Nothobranchius furzeri: one gene and its partners. The protein of the gene in region 1 interacts with the protein of each later gene in a pairwise test. Links are inferred from orthologs where the notes say so. Each region holds a gene or a part of one and is shown on either strand. Other genes may lie near its edges.

Evidence for each region. The genes of interacting proteins can lie anywhere in the genome.
Region 2: the proteins of hspb1 (region 1) and ppm1aa interact in a two-hybrid assay, tested with the Homo sapiens proteins (2 studies listed by BioGRID and IntAct). The link is inferred for Nothobranchius furzeri from reciprocal best matches to the Homo sapiens genes HSPB1 and PPM1A.
Region 3: the proteins of hspb1 (region 1) and nvl interact in binary tests that used the Homo sapiens proteins (3 or more experiments, as listed by UniProt). The link is inferred for Nothobranchius furzeri from reciprocal best matches to the Homo sapiens genes HSPB1 and NVL.

The regions. Positions count from the first base shown.
Region 1 is NC_091750.1:66,231,737-66,235,121, forward strand, and holds hspb1 (heat shock protein beta-1), read left to right. Parts: upstream 1-1,279; 5' UTR 1,280-1,369; coding exon 1,370-1,751; intron 1,752-2,202; coding exon 2,203-2,266; intron 2,267-2,491; coding exon 2,492-2,642; 3' UTR 2,643-2,880; downstream 2,881-3,385. UniProt on the Homo sapiens protein: Small heat shock protein which functions as a molecular chaperone probably maintaining denatured proteins in a folding-competent state. Plays a role in stress resistance and actin organization.
Region 2 is NC_091758.1:31,241,378-31,244,896, reverse strand, and holds part of ppm1aa (protein phosphatase 1A), read left to right. Parts: coding exon 1-285; intron 286-372; coding exon 373-490; intron 491-2,409; coding exon 2,410-2,521; intron 2,522-2,669; coding exon 2,670-2,727; intron 2,728-3,519. UniProt on the Homo sapiens protein: Enzyme with a broad specificity. Negatively regulates TGF-beta signaling through dephosphorylating SMAD2 and SMAD3, resulting in their dissociation from SMAD4, nuclear export of the SMADs and termination of the TGF-beta-mediated signaling.
Region 3 is NC_091752.1:59,274,772-59,278,290, reverse strand, and holds part of nvl (nuclear valosin-containing protein-like), read left to right. Parts: intron 1-1,721; coding exon 1,722-1,965; intron 1,966-3,519. UniProt on the Homo sapiens protein: Participates in the assembly of the telomerase holoenzyme and effecting of telomerase activity via its interaction with TERT. Involved in both early and late stages of the pre-rRNA processing pathways.

The sequences.
Region 1 (3,385 bases):
TAAAAGCTGTTTTTTGCTTATATGAATGTTGATGGTAAACTTTTATTTATACAACCACATTAGACTCTAGTGTTTTCATTAATAACATACTATAATAATAATGTAAGAAAATGTGTGGCTCTTTAAAAAATGTAAATTTTGAACGTTAACATTTGTTTTTCTTTAAAAATCTTTTCAGAAGTTTTTGAACTTTATGCATGAAAGGGTTTATATTAGTTAGATCATTTTCATTCTAGATGTTCAAACAAAATCATCTCATGTTGAAAAATGGTGGAATTGTTGGTTTTTCTTTCTTTTTTTTCCAGCTAAATATCTGAATACTTCTGAGTTAAAAATGCTTATGAAACGTGTATGTGGAGTAACCAGGTAGGTAGGTTTTAGTAGTGTTGCAAATCTGCAACGCCTGCCTCCAGAGGGTTGCTCAAAGACAACACCCAGCAGCATTTTGTTTAAAACTGAGATGCATTTGGTCTAAAATGAACGTCTTCTATGTTTTTAATCCAGTTTGATATCAAAATACAGTTAGTATTTTGGCGTAGATAGCCCGAAAAGAAGGGGTTGAATTGATTCACAGTTGAAAGTGTCTCCCAGGCAGGATCTAACACGTACGTGTAAATGCTCCCTTTGCTTACCCTAAACCCATCTTCCAGGTGTTTCTACAACACTCTGCTAAATGTTTTCTATTGGACGCATCTTTCTAGACCGTTGTGTGTGTAAATGTGCATCTGTATTAAAACTAGAGCAAAACCACGACCCTGAGAAACGAATGCAACCAAAATGATGTTTTCATGTCTGGTTTTTAGCTCACTTTTTCCTACTTTGATGAAACTAAACAGTTTCCTGTCATCCACTAAGAAACTTGGGAGTTTTTAACCCAGTTTGGGTCAAAATGAGTTTTGATAGAAGGACGACCTCTGAGTTAAACAATGCTCATGAAACACATATGTGGAGTAACCAGGTAGGTAACTGTTGCAAACCTGCAATGCCTGCCTCCAGAGGGTTAACCCAGGTGAGTATTATGTGTTACTTTTTGCATCGTATCCCAGCATGTTGTGATCACATCGGCTCTTCAGGTTTCCTCCAGTTGCTTCTAGTCAGATCTGATCAGAATGGGAGGGGTGGGGGTGGGAGCTCTTACGTTTGCACTGGGCAGCTGTTACCAAGACCCGCCCTCCACGTGCTGCAACAGACACAAATAGATTCTAGATCTTTCCGTAGGCATGTTGGGGGCTTGTGGGTCTGGGGGCAGGGCGTTAGGGGGGTGGGACCAGCGTGTATAAAAGCTCTGCAGCATGTGAGTCAGGCATCAACTTGGAAGAACATTTTCTGAAAGACTTGAGAAGACTTCTTCTGCCCGACCACAGCAAGCATGGCTGAGAGAAATATTCCCTTCACCCTGGCCCGCACTCCCAGCTGGGATCCGCTCCGGGACTGGCACCACAGCAGCCGGATCTTTGACCAGATCTTCGGCATGCCGGCCCTGCTGGAGGACTTTCCCACGTTCCCCAGCTCCCGCTGGCCCGGCTACCTGAGGCCCTCCATCCTGGGCACTGACATCATGATGCCCCACAGCCACATGTACCCGGGACAGATGTTGGCCCAGCAGGCTCGTGCCCTGTCCAGGCAGATGGGCAGTGGCGTGTCAGAGATCAAGCAGACGCAGGACAGCTGGAAGGTGTCCCTTGACGTCAACCACTTCTCACCTGAGGAGCTGGTGGTGAAGATGAAGGATGGTGTTGTGGAGATCTCTGGTGAGTTTTCTCTCTTCTCTAGGTGTTTAAGTAACCTGCAAACATTCAGGATCTTTTATTCAGGATCCAGGTTAACTGAGGTCATTGTCTCCAGATGAAAAGGACCCCTCCCCCTCTTCCTCACATGGGTGGGAGTGGGATTCTGGCTAGAAGCCAACAGATACCTGTGAAGCAGCTTAGTTTTACTTTTTGTTTACATTTTTACTGGTGGCATGTGAGGCCTCCTCCCTCTCGGACTCGCCCTCGTGATCCCAGTTCTTCCAGTTTGCTGTGACTCCCCAGTGTCTGCAGCTTTAAAAGGACTGCTGGATCCGGTCCAGTTGACTGGACCTGGTCTGAGCACAGAGATAAACAAAGCGTGTGATTCAGTCTCACGGAATGGCACAAGAGATGAATGACATCACTAGCTGTTTATTAATTATTTTTTTAATAATTTCTGTTGTTTCCACAGGAAAGCACGAGGAGAGGAAGGATGAACACGGCTTCATTTCTAGGAGCTTCACCAGGAAATACACGTAAGCTTTTATTTTATTTTTTCAAAATCTGCAGGTTTGTGCAAAATGCATGCAGTCAAATGTATTCTGTATATCTGAAGCTGAAGTTTGGAGTTCTGAAATGCCTTATCAGCCACCTAGTCAGTCATATCTGGTTTATTCAACTCCACAAGTCTGCTGCCACCTAGTGGCCACACCTCTGCTACTACAACAATGTGTAACACTGTCTCCTCCCCCCTCCTCCAGCCTCCCTCCTACCGCTACTTTCGAGAAGGTGACCTCCTCTCTCTCCCCTGAGGGGATTCTGACCGTGGAGGCTCCTCTGATGGCCATCGAGTCGACCGAAACCACGATCCCCGTCACCGTGGAGAAGAAACCCGCCGTGACCCAGAAGTAGATAGCAGCGCTATACACCCTGATGCCATCAACGCACACGCATGCATGCTTTTTGTTTTAATCCACAAACGTCTTCGAGGAGATGAATCTTGTTGTGGTTTTTTTTATTACTTTTTAATTAGCTTTTTCATTTGAAGTAAATGTTGATGTTGCTTCTCAGTGGTCATTATTAAAATCGTGTGTCCTCAGGTACCTGTTTGTCACTGAGCTGCTTTTGGAAATAAAATTAACAAAAAATATTCTTTTGTCTTTTTTTTCATGATGTGACACCAACATGGGTCTGTGTAGTTGAGCTACGTCTGAGAATGAATTTATGTGGCTAAATTATATCTTTTGGTCATCCATGCAAAAAGCGCATCACGAAAGTCCTGTTTACTTACCTGCACATAATTGTTGTTTGCTTTTTAAGCAAAATCTAATAAAATAACATGCAGCCAGCTAACAACTAAATAAATGAACTCAGTCAAATGATCAATTGGATTTTACTAAACGTCCCATTAGTGCATGTAAAGTGGGCGTGGCTTAAACTGAACTGACAACAGTCAATGATGCTCAGCTGCCGGAAAGAAGCCAGCCATGCTGGTTATTTTCATGTTGTTCTGCACCAGCTGATCATCTGTAGGATGGAACCTGTTTCCATCACTTCTTTCTCTCCTTCCATAGCATCATCCTTCAGGCTTTCGTGTTGCACGTCTGTCCGGAAATACACAGACCAACTCTGCTCCTGACCCCAAAGCTGCAGGG
Region 2 (3,519 bases), on another chromosome or scaffold:
ATCCAGCGAGTTAACGGCTCTCTAGCTGTGTCTAGAGCTCTAGGAGACTTTGACTACAAGTGTGTGCTTGGCAAAGGCCCAACAGAGCAGCTTGTTTCTCCAGAACCTGAAGTGTACGCAATAGAAAGATCTGACGAGCAAGATGAATTCATTATACTAGCTTGTGATGGTATCTGGGACGTCATGGCCAATGAGGAACTCTGTGACTTTGTGCGGTCAAGGCTAGAGGTTACAGATGATCTTGAAAAAGTCAGCAATGAAATTGTTGACACCTGCTTGTACAAGGTATGGTATTTCCACAAGACCTGCTCATATCTGTACCAACTCCTGTGGTTGAGTTGCTTAATTGGTTGATTTCTTTTTTCTCCATAGGGAAGCCGTGACAATATGAGTGTTGTGTTAATCTGCTTTCCTGGAGCCCCAAAGGTATCTCCAGAGGCAGTGCAACAGGAGGCGGAGCTGGACAAATATCTTGAGGCCAGAGTAGAAGGTAGGAGATGAAGAAATGCTTTTTTTGTTTCTTGTGCAGAACATTTTTATTTTAACTTTTAAGCAGGTAGGAAAAGCAAGTTTAGATAGGTATATATGTTTAAGTGCTGCTTATCAGAGGCAAATCTGTTCAGATTTTCTTGTTTTTAAAACCATGTGACATTTTAAAGCAGCTTTCTATAAACGGGTTTATTCAATATAAATGTTTAGTCATGACAGAAAATGTGAAAGGTTACATCACGTAAGTGAAAGAGGACTTCATATTCATTTTTGCTCCAAGATCGCCAAAATTTGGAAATCTGTGGCAAACCATGTGGTCTGAATATTCATGTCCAGCACAAAATGCATGTTGTAGATTTACCACTGTTCAGGACAGACCATGTTGCACAAAATTAATATAAAGCTGAGCACTCCCATTAAATATGTTTGCACATTTCTTTGTTAAACTCGGGTAATTTGTATATTCATAAACTGAGAACTAGTCCACACGTAGCCGGGTTTTTTTTTTAAAACAAATATCCGCCCCTCCAAAAACTTGCATCCACACCACCTCGTTTAAAAAAAACTCTGTCTACACGTACCCAGATAAATACGTTGTTAAGGACATGCCAGACCTGTAGGTGGCAGTACTTCCCCGTTCTTAACCTCGTCCTTCGTCTGTGGTCTTCCGCAAGAAGCAGTAATTCCGCTTGCAAAAACAAACAAGCAAAAAGCGCTTGGACAATTGATAAAGCGAGCACAGCTCTGAGGGCATCCATGCTGTCGGCTAGTGTAAACACAGGTCGCACACGTGATGTCAGCATTTTTTTGTCGCGGAAAGTGACGTTGCAGACCTTAAAACTCCGGTTTTGTCTGTCCACACGCAGACACCCAAAACGGTGAAAATGCAGATCTTCACTTTGGCCGGAGTTTTTAAAAAGATCCGTTTTCGTGTGAAAAAACTCAGTTTTCATGTGGATGACAGGCCAAAACGTAGAAAAATATCTACGTTTTGGCAGATCCCCGGCTACGTGTGGACAGAGCCTGAAAGTGTGATTGTGTCCATGGGCCAAAATAAAGGAATTTAAACCCTGAAGCCATTCCAAGTCATAAATGGATCATCTTTGTTTTGTCTTTGTCTATTTGTATTGTTTAGAGTATTTTAATGTCCTAACTGTTACATCATCAGTTTGGGGCCAATAAAACATTTTTGGGTGTTTTTTATGCTTTTATTAGTTATTCATATGTTTTTTTGTTTCATTGCCCTGCTGGGAAATGATCAAACCACGACCCTGAAACCAAAGTTCAAGTTGAATATTTGAGTTGTCATTGTATCCTAAGGCTGTTTGACCAAACCTTTGGTAAACAAAAGGACTTCAGTCTCATCTTTAAGGTTAGAAATGGTGGTAATGCATCTCTGGATGTCAAACCTAAAAAGATCTTCAGGTCCACTAAATTCTGTCTGATCAAGATGAGATCATTCCCAGGTATGTCCATGCATTTTTCAACAAGTCAGTGCAAAACCACAGTTTCAACATGGTACAAAGAAAATGGGTAAGGAAAAAAGAGAGCCAGATTCCTTGACTAACCTGACTGCAGCCCTGACCTGTCTCCAACATGTGGAAAATGTATGAAGAAAGGCGACAACAACCCTGTACCACTGCACACTTTTAATATTTGATTGCAGGAAGAAATCACAACTCGGATGCTTGCTTCTTATCCTAAATGCTCGAATGCACTTTAGTTGTGAGAGGGAATGGCAACATTACAAAGTGGTAAAAGTTTTACCAGCCCAGCAATTTTTGATGTGTGACGTGTGCAATTAAATTTATGTATACATAAATACATGTAGCAAGATTTAAATAGAAGAATCCAGGGAAACACATTTCAAGCATTTATTTTTATAAATTTACCATTTGTTTTTTTTTTCCTCATTCGCAGAGATACTCAAAAAACAAGGAGGTCCGGTTGCCCCAGATTTGGTTCATGTTATGCGGACGTTAGCTTCTGAGAGTATCCCCAATCTTCCTCCTGGAGGAGAACTGGCGAGCAAGTAAGTGGCCCTTGTACTTGTGCTGAGTCACTTTTTTTTAAGACGTGTGATTATTTTTATTTCTCCAATTATTGCTTTTAAAATCACAACCATTGATGTAATTTTCTTTAGCACTATAATTTATTTCTACTTTTGTTCTTGTGCTCAGACGAAGTGTTATTGAGGCATTCTACAACAAACTTAACCCATACCGAAGTGATGACACTGTAAGTATCTGGCTGTTTCTTTGGGTTGTTTTTGGTCTGCTTTATTTGTAGAATGCATGGTTTTGATGTGTGACAAGCAACGAAAATACTTTGCATGTGTATGAATTCAAAAAGCCAAATAAAACTATTGGGGGTAATGCAGAATCATTTATGATTTTAATCCTGAGGTCGGCAACAAAAATGTTCAGTTGCTTACTTTTCTAGTTTTAGTTAAATAGCTCACATTTCTTTATTATTTTGATAATGTTATCAATTTAATATCACCTGACTTAATATTTACTCCTTATTTAAACTTTCTATATAAAATTTAAAGTGTCTAAGTGAAACTTTCAATTGCTTAAGAAACTAACACGATAACTGGTAAATGGGCCCGTATTTGATAAAACACCTTGTCGGGTTCTACAGCCCTCCAAGGTTTTTTACAACATACCAGCCAATCACATTTCACTCGGTACCCTTTGTTTTTTCCTAACTTAGTTATAAAGAGTAAAAACTGTCATCCAGTATCAGTTATTACTATCCGTTATTGTTTTCTGTCTTCATGGTTAAGTATAGCAAAGAATAATTGCATAGAAATGAAAATATTGTTACCACCAGTATTTTTACCAAACGTAAGCAAATAAGAATTGGTCTAAGTTCTGAGTCTTCCACTGCTAACTAGCGCTCAAGCAATGGCTTCCCAAGCCATAGGCTATAGGGTCTTGATGGGAATCCTTTTAACCCCATGTGATGGACCATAGACACTAATGGCTAGAAGTGGTTTCCTTCATTTTGACACATCCTAATTTTTAT
Region 3 (3,519 bases), on another chromosome or scaffold:
TGAATGGGCAAAATATCTCTTTCCAAATTCAGTACGTACAAATGGGACAGAAAGTAGCAAAGTGTCTTGTAAACAAAGAGAATAATGACCTGCAATTTTCATTTTAAGTAGGGAAGTTATATAGGAAGGTAGCAGACCAAGTAGTGCCTTTATATATAAATCTGAAAAAATGAGACTTCCTCCTGATGGTCAAAGCAGGCCATCCCATCTGATTGTACAACTCACAATGATGAGTCGAGTACTTACGGTTAGTAATAAGCCTTAGAGCAGCATGATACACTGTGTCAAGTGACTGAAGACATTTAGCAGAAGCGTTCATATACAAAATATCTCCATAATCCAGGACAGGAAAAAATGTTGCAACAACAAGACGGATCTTTGCATTAAAAGAGAAACACAACTTATTTTGAAAATACAAACGCAGTCCTAACTTCAGCTTCTTCACCAGATTCTCCACGAGGTTTGAAGGTGAGTGAGTCATCAATCAAGAAACCCAGATATTTATATGAGTGAACCAACAATATTTCTTAACCATCAAGTGTGGTCACTGAAGGAACCACTTGAGCCTGTCTCCTCGAGTTTGTAAACAGCATGAGCTTGGTTTTGTCTGCATTGAGAACAAGTTTAAGCTGAAGTAATGAATGCTGGACAGCAACAAAAGCTTTCTGTACTGAATCTATGGCTTGAGTTAAGAGTGTTTCCACAGCTGTAAATAACTGTATCATCGACATAAAAGTGCAGGTTTGCATCTGTCACATTTAGACCAAGATTATTAATGTAAATGATAAATACAAGAGGGCCCAACACAGAGCCCTGTGGTACCCCCTTGTGGACTATGGCAAATCAGAACAAAGTCCATCTGATTTAAATACACTAAAACCTGTTTTTAAGATAATTTGAGAACCATCCCACTGCTTTTTCAGATAGTTCTGACTGGAGGAGTCTAAGTTTTAGAATACCATGGTCAACAGTGTCAAATGCTTTTGACAAATCTATAAAAAGGGATGCACAGTGCTGCTTTTTGTCCAGAGCAACAACAATGTTGTTTACCACTTTTAGTACAGCCGTGGTAGTACTGTATGTTTTCCTAAAACCTGATTGATATTCAGATAAAATAGCATTAGTGTTTTAAAACTCCTTTAACTGTTCACTCACCAGATCCTCAAGAACTTTGGCCAGTATAGATAAGTTTGATATTGGCCTATAATTTGATAATTCTGTTGGATCTCCTCCTTTTAACAAAAGGGTAACAAAAGCCGATTTCCACACTGAGGGAATTTCACATCAGCTAACAAGTAGAGGGCAGACGATCTTCTTGAAGAAGAAATAGCAGGTCTGAGGGCCAAAATTCTTGCTAAAAACTTATTTTCTGCACATTACACAGATAAATTATTTTAAAAATCATACAATGCGATATCCTTTTTTTTACATTCCGTCTCCCACAGTAGAAGTATATCTGATGAAAATAACAGATTTGTCATCTTTAAGTAGAACAACTTGCACAATTGGTGCAAATACTGTTTTGCCACCTTTAAATTGTTTTACAAGCAGGTTTTACGACTTTGAATTCAGGTCAACTCCAATAAGGGAAGATTAAATAAATGCTGCATTTGGAATTAAACAAAATTGTACAGCTTAATTTTAAGCTATATCACTCAGCCCTACATTTCTCGTAAAAGCCACTCTGAACCTAATGCAAGCATGATTGTGTGTTTGACCAGGATCTTAAGAACATTGTGTCGAAAGCTGGTGCTGCCAGAAGATTTTGACTACCAGCAGCTGGCTCGGCTTACTCCAGGCTACGTAGGAGCTGATCTCATGGCTCTCTGTCGTGAAGCTGCCATGGCTGCTGTCAACAGGGTTCTCCTGAAAGCAAGGGAACCTCTTCAGGAACAAGCCCAGAACTGCACTCCAGGCCTGACGGGAAGTGGGGAACAAATGGTGGCTGATATGAACCACCATCAGGTAAAGGGGAACCCTAACCTTGTCTAGAGTAGGTATTCTGGGGGCTAACTGTAGTTTAGTTAGAGGTGAATGGGCCAAATTTGATAGGTGCAGCTTAATCTGATTTAACCATGCCGGTTGAACATGCCTTTTTAAATTCATCCTAACAAAGAGATTTTCTAACGAAAAAACAGTGGCTTAAGTTTTAAATTCAACAAGTTCCTCTGCATTGGTATTCTTTGATTCACAGACTACAAATTAGTAAGTCCCACAATTTAATTCTGGGAATTCACACACCACTACATGCAGCAGTTGGCTAACACAGAGCATAGTTATCACCTCAAAAGATAGAAAATGTTTGTATTTTGGATGTATTTATAAATGAACAGCAAAGGTGTAATGTGTGCAAACAGGGCATGTATAAAGGTGGAAGATTGGTGCTGCATTCAACAAAACGGATCTGGTTCAATTCACTGCAGCAATTCAGCTAAGCCAGCCAACACAAGGAAATGGGGGGGGGGGGGGGGGGGGGGGGTTGCTGGCTTTTCATTACACCAGCCTGCAATATTACAGCACCGCTGCTGTTCCTGCACTAGAGGTGTGAATCTTCACTTGTCTCCCGTTTCGATTACGATAATTGGGTCGACAATTCAAATCGATTATATATCCCGATGACTATTTCATATGGATTTGTTTTCATCGATAAATAGAAGATTTCATAAAATTTACTTGTGTCTGACACAACCTGCCATCTCCAAAAGCTCTCCATTCACAACAGTCCTTAGGACAAAACATTTTTAACCATTTAAGAAGATTTAACAAAGTAAAAAAATCTGTTTCCTCATTCAACATCACAGCTCAGGCTGAGAAAAGCATGCTTTGCAAATACTCACAAAATCTGAAAACCTACAGGACACGTCTGATTCTTGCCTTTAATTTAAGTTATGAAATCCTTAAAGGGTTCATATATGAGTGTTTAATGTCTTTGAGCAGCTTTAGAGTCAAATATTTCTGTTACAGTTCAAGGCTGTAAGAAATAACACCAAATGAAATGTTTGGCTTAGTTTGTTATTTTTTTATTTGAACCCAGTGGCCTTATTTCTGAAATGTTGGAGAATGAATCAAGTTGTTTAAAGCAAAAAATAATAAAACATTAAAATAATCCTAAACTTCCAATAATATTTAAGATGTGTGTTTTATTCTTTCTGATAATAACACCAGCAGAAGGCTGTGGGCTGGATTAGGATTAAATTACCCAGCTGATGGATCTCTTTCACTAACCAGCTAACTACAAACCTTTCCACCAACCTGTCCTGTGGGACCCTCACCATGTAACCCTCATGTCCATGCTGTCTCTGGAGGAGCAGATAGGAAACAAGATCTCCTGTAACTTAAATTGAACCAAAGCTTCCTCCCAGTTTCTCTTTAAGCTGAATTTAACATCAGTTTATCATCATGAAACAAAAGAATAAAGTGGAACAAAAACTTCTATCTTCTATTTCTCTTTACTTTTAACTTTTCCGTGTCCCTAAATAAAAGAGACAGATGGTTACGCTGCAGCCGCCGTCACTGACC